Saccharomyces cerevisiae S288C: one gene and its partner. Changing the gene in region 2 together with the main gene of any one other region gives a genetic interaction. Each region holds a gene or a part of one and is shown on either strand. Other genes may lie near its edges. The genes, in order: NTF2 and EMC10.

Region 1 (2,879 bases), on a different chromosome or scaffold from region 2:
TTCAAAAGTTACAGAGGTTCTCAACCTGTGATATTTCGGACGGATTGTTGAATGTTTATAACATTCCAACGGGTGGTTATTTCCCTAATCTAACAGCAATTTCTCCACCGCAAAATAGCTCCATAGTAGGCACTGCATACACAGTACTGTTTGCACCCATTGATGATCCAAGACCTGCCGTGAACTATATAGACTCTGTCCCTCCCAACTCAATACTCGTCCTCGCACTGGAGCCCCATTTGCAAAGTCAGTTCCACCCATTTATTAAAATTACGCAAGCGATGTACGGGGGGCTGATGAGTACCAGAGCACAATATTTGAAATCGAATGGGACAGTAGTCTTTGGACGCATAAGAGATGTGGATGAACACCGGACTTTAAACCATCCCGTTTTTGCTTACGGTGTTGGATCTTGCGCTCCAAAGGCTGTCGTTAAAGCCGTAGGCACTAACGTACAGTTGAAAATCTTAACGAGTGATGGCGTAACCCAAACAATATGTCCTGGTGATTATATTGCAGGTGACAATAATGGAATAGTACGCATTCCTGTTCAAGAGACTGACATTTCAAAATTAGTTACCTATATCGAAAAGTCAATTGAAGTGGATTTACTTGTCTCTGAAGATATTAAGAATGGTATTCCCGCCAAACAAGCTCAAAATGATCGAAGATCAGTATTAAAGAAATACATTTAAAAACGCTATCTTCATACATATATATATATATATATCTTCTTTATCGCTATCGCCTTATACATCGTTAGCTAAGCATCTTCAATTATGCTAAACAATATTCGAAAATGAAAATACATGTTTCTGTGGTGACTTAAAAAATCCTTAAGCAGAGTAATTCAAACGGAAGATATCGTTAAACACGTAGTAAGAGTTTCCATCAGGAATCAAATGGAACACTTGAGAGAAACGCTGTGGATTTTGTTCTTCGTCAATCAACAGATCACCAGTGATCATGACTAAGACATCGCCATTTGGGGAAGCAGGTTGCGCATCCAAAGTAGTGATACGATGTTGGACCTTTTGAAATGGCAAAGATACTAATTTCTCAACAATGTCCTTTGCACCTTGCAATTGACTAGTCTCGAATGTTAGCATAGATTCATTTCTGTACAAGTTACCCAATTGGCTTCTATCGGTATCAAATTGATTATAGTAAAACTGGGTGAAGTTTTGGGCCAAAGTGTTAAAGTCGAGAGACATTATAAAGATAATAGTATTAAAACCTGGGTTCCTTAGGGGGTATTGTACACTAAAAACTAAAAAGTACTTACTTATCAGCCTAAGTCTCACCTTGCCAAGTCAGAAAATTTTTCGTTGCTTTTTGAGAACCACGCTTGTGGGACTATGTCACCCGGTATTAATGGGCAAATACTAACTTGGTGAACACTTATAGCAATAACAGTATCATAGCTTATGAAGAAAAAGCGGTCATAAAGACTGAGTCGGTGCCAGATATCTCCAGCTAGGTAACAAGGCTACGCAATTTATTCTATATTATGAGGTCCTCGAAGTCTCCTTTTAAAAGGAAGTCTCACAGTCGTGAGACATCACACGATGAAAACACATCGTTTTTCCACAAGAGAACAATATCCGGTAGCAGTGCTCACCATTCTAGAAACGTCAGTCAAGGTGCAGTACCCTCTTCCGCACCACCTGTTTCTGGTGGAAATTATTCGCATAAGAGAAACGTGTCGAGAGCTTCAAATTCCTCTCAAACTTCGAATTTTTTAGCCGAACAATATGAAAGGGATAGGAAAGCCATAATTAATTGCTGCTTTTCCAGACCCGACCATAAGACAGGTGAACCGCCGAATAATTATATTACACATGTCCGGATTATAGAAGATTCAAAATTCCCTAGTTCAAGACCTCCTCCAGATTCAAAATTGGAGAACAAAAAGAAAAGACTCCTTATTTTGAGTGCCAAGCCCAACAATGCCAAGCTAATACAAATTCATAAAGCAAGAGAAAACTCAGACGGCTCTTTTCAAATTGGTAGAACTTGGCAGTTGACCGAACTAGTAAGAGTAGAGAAGGACCTGGAGATATCTGAAGGCTTCATTCTTACCATGAGTAAAAAATACTACTGGGAAACGAATTCTGCGAAGGAAAGAACTGTTTTCATTAAATCTCTAATTACTCTATACATTCAAACATTCGAAGGTCATGTCCCTGAATTGGTCAATTGGGATTTATCCCTTTTTTATCTTGACGAGAGGAGTTATCAAAGAGCAGTCATCACAAATCGCCCCGGTTCCGTATCTCCAATAAAGTCACCTACAAGTAATTTCACGACAAACACTACCCAATCGGTGGGCTCTGTCCCCTTTTCAGCACCTACTGAGAGGACAAGAAGGTCTGAAACAGAAAGCGTTAATCCAGTGTCAACGCCTGCAAGCGTGGAATATCATGCAGGAATGAAATCTCTAAATAAGGCCCCCTATTCTTCCAATTCGACATTGAATGAAGTGAATAAAAGATACGAGTTAGAGCAACAACAGCAACAAGAAGAGGCTGAACTGAGACGATTAGAAGAGCAAAAAAGACTTCAGTTACAAAAGGAAAATGAGATGAAAAGATTAGAAGAGGAAAGAAGAATAAAGCAGGAGGAGAGGAAAAGGCAAATGGAATTGGAACACCAACGACAACTCGAAGAAGAGGAACGAAAACGTCAAATGGAACTGGAGGCTAAAAAGCAAATGGAGTTGAAACGTCAACGGCAATTCGAAGAAGAGCAACGCCTAAAAAAAGAGAGAGAACTATTGGAAATACAGAGAAAACAAAGAGAACAAGAAACAGCTGAGAGATTAAAAAAAGAAGAGCAAGAAGCGCTTGCTAAAAAGGAGGAGGAAGAAAAAAGTAAAA
Region 2 (3,336 bases):
TTCGCTAACTTGCAAAAGATTAACTCTTCATTGGGTTTCATCAACAACTCCATCTCAAGTTTGAATTTCACTAAGCTAAACACCATTGGCCAAACCTTCAGTATCGTTTCCAATGACTACTTGAAGAACTTGTCGTTCTCTAATTTGTCAACCATAGGTGGTGCTCTTGTCGTTGCTAACAACACTGGTTTACAAAAAATTGGTGGTCTCGACAACCTAACAACCATTGGCGGTACTTTGGAAGTTGTTGGTAACTTCACCTCCTTGAACCTAGACTCTTTGAAGTCTGTCAAGGGTGGCGCAGATGTCGAATCAAAGTCAAGCAATTTCTCCTGTAATGCTTTGAAAGCTTTGCAAAAGAAAGGGGGTATCAAGGGTGAATCTTTTGTCTGCAAAAATGGTGCATCATCCACATCTGTTAAACTATCGTCCACTTCCAAATCTCAATCAAGCCAAACTACTGCCAAGGTTTCCAAGTCATCTTCTAAGGCCGAGGAAAAGAAGTTCACTTCTGGCGATATCAAGGCTGCTGCTTCTGCCTCTAGTGTTTCTAGTTCTGGCGCTTCCAGCTCTAGCTCTAAGAGTTCCAAAGGCAATGCCGCTATCATGGCACCAATTGGCCAAACAACCCCTTTGGTCGGTCTTTTGACGGCAATCATCATGTCTATAATGTAATGGAATGAAGAAATATTCTTCATTTTTGATAACTAGTACCTGTCATTCACGACATGTGAACAAATAAAAACATTTATTTAAAAATTTTATGTATTCAAATATTTTCGGGAAAGAGATAAAAGTAACGACACTTAAAAATTTAAAAAATCACAATACTTTATTTACTCAGTCTTTTGATCAGCTCCGGCACCTCCTTGTTGTTGCTTCTTTGCTGAGCCCGCAACAAAATTGTAAATCAATAGGCCTAAAAGTAACATTTTCCAGTTCTTTTGAAACCAAGACACCTCCTTAACCTCTTCATCTTCTTCGAATTGTGCAGTGCTTCCATCCTTATTCTTACTAGCTTTTTTATCAGCATAAGTTTTGGTTTTCTTCTTTAATTTGGTGACTGGTGCAGTAGGTCCCGCTTCTGGATATCTGACTGTAGCAGTAATAGCATCGTTAGTCTCGTCATATGATAACGACACTTGTTTGACCTCATTATCTTCATCTACATCCACAATTAAATCGTATTTTAGTGGTGTCCTCAGCTTCATGTAGCTAAAACATGGCATATCCAGCTTACCTTCAATCTGGGCATTCAAACAGTATTCTCCAGAAACTTCAACATCCTGTATATTAACGGTTGTTACTGTAACATTCCCATCGGATGTACTATCAATCTCAAATGTTCCTAGGGGTATAGCGTCTTTCGCATCATCTGAATAGCTTAATTGTAAAATATCAGCACAGAAAACCATGCTGGCCAATAAAATCACACGCAACAGCCGCACAAGCATCTTTCCTTCAATGAGTATTGTACAGTTCTTGTTAGATAGTGTTGAATAGTACCACCTTGTTTTTTTACTCAAAGTGTCTTTTATATACTTCTAATTATTCCTATATTTGGTTGGGTTTTTAAGTTACCAATGCAAATACAGTGGTTAGAGACCCAGCGCACGTATGCAAAAAAATACAGCGGAAATTTCAAGTAAAAATGTAGCTTCATAAAAAAGAAGCAGATTCCCTAAAATAAGCAATAGATCTTCACATATATCGTTATCATCCCCTTTCTTCCCTGTTTCAATGCAAGCTAAAATTATATATGCTCTGAGCGCAATTTCTGCGTTGATTCCGTTAGGATCATCACTATTAGCACCTATAGAAGACCCCATAGTATCGAATAAGTACCTCATATCTTACATCGATGAGGACGACTGGAGTGATAGGATATTACAAAATCAGTCTGTCATGAACTCGGGATATATAGTGAATATGGGCGACGACCTTGAATGCTTTATTCAAAATGCAAGCACTCAATTGAATGATGTATTGGAAGACTCAAATGAGCATAGCAATAGTGAAAAGACAGCATTATTAACTAAAACCCTGAATCAAGGTGTTAAGACAATTTTCGATAAATTAAATGAACGGTGCATCTTCTACCAAGCCGGATTTTGGATTTACGAGTACTGTCCTGGCATAGAATTTGTTCAGTTCCATGGTAGAGTAAATACAAAAACTGGTGAAATAGTAAATCGAGATGAATCTTTGGTCTACCGCCTGGGAAAACCAAAAGCAAATGTAGAAGAGAGAGAATTTGAACTACTTTATGACGATGTAGGATATTACATCAGCGAAATTATAGGGTCAGGTGATATTTGCGATGTGACGGGGGCTGAAAGAATGGTTGAAATACAATATGTCTGTGGCGGCTCAAACTCTGGACCATCGACTATTCAATGGGTGAGAGAAACAAAAATTTGTGTTTATGAAGCCCAAGTTACCATACCTGAATTGTGCAATTTAGAATTACTAGCCAAAAATGAAGACCAAAAGAACGCCTCACCTATACTTTGCAGGATGCCCGCAAAATCAAAAATTGGTAGTAACTCTATTGATTTAATCACCAAATATGAACCGATTTTTTTAGGTTCTGGAATATACTTTCTAAGGCCCTTTAACACCGACGAAAGAGACAAATTAATGGTTACTGACAATGCCATGTCAAATTGGGATGAGATTACGGAAACATATTACCAGAAATTTGGAAATGCCATAAACAAAATGCTTAGTTTGAGATTAGTATCGTTACCTAATGGACATATTCTCCAGCCTGGTGACTCATGTGTTTGGTTGGCGGAAGTGGTTGATATGAAAGATCGGTTTCAAACCACTTTATCGTTGAACATACTTAATTCACAGAGAGCAGAGATATTTTTCAACAAGACGTTTACATTTAATGAAGATAATGGAAACTTCCTATCATACAAAATTGGGGATCATGGCGAGTCAACTGAACTTGGTCAAATAACCCACTCAAACAAAGCAGATATAAATACCGCAGAAATTCGGTCAGATGAATACTTAATTAACACTGATAATGAGCTATTCTTGAGGATTTCTAAGGAGATAGCAGAAGTGAAAGAATTATTAAACGAAATCGTAAGTCCACATGAAATGGAAGTAATATTTGAAAACATGAGAAATCAACCGAATAATGATTTTGAACTGGCGTTGATGAACAAGTTGAAATCCTCATTAAATGATGATAACAAAGTTGAGCAGATAAACAACGCAAGGATGGATGATGATGAAAGCACTAGTCATACAACCAGAGACATCGGGGAAGCTGGATCACAAACGACAGGGAATACTGAATCGGAGGTAACAAACGTAGCA

The links.
Region 1: mutations in EMC10 (region 2) and NTF2 together harm fitness more than expected from each alone (negative genetic interaction), as found in Saccharomyces cerevisiae (one large-scale study listed by BioGRID).

The regions. Positions count from the first base shown.
Region 1 is NC_001137.3:170,450-173,328, reverse strand, and holds NTF2 (Ran GTPase-binding protein NTF2), read right to left. Parts: upstream 1,215-2,879; coding exon 837-1,214; downstream 1-836. Other genes in the region: YER010C (bifunctional 4-hydroxy-4-methyl-2-oxoglutarate aldolase/oxaloacetate decarboxylase), read left to right, coding at 1-695; GTP-Rho binding exocyst subunit SEC3, read left to right, coding at 1,511-2,879. UniProt on the Saccharomyces cerevisiae protein: Facilitates protein transport into the nucleus. Interacts with various nucleoporins and with Ran-GDP. Could be part of a multicomponent system of cytosolic factors that assemble at the pore complex during nuclear import.
Region 2 is NC_001136.10:564,187-567,522, forward strand, and holds EMC10 (Emc10p), read right to left. Parts: upstream 1,455-3,336; coding exon 837-1,454; downstream 1-836. Other genes in the region: PST1 (Pst1p), read left to right, coding at 1-675; YOS9 (Yos9p), read left to right, coding at 1,741-3,336. UniProt on the Saccharomyces cerevisiae protein: Part of the endoplasmic reticulum membrane protein complex (EMC) that enables the energy-independent insertion into endoplasmic reticulum membranes of newly synthesized membrane proteins.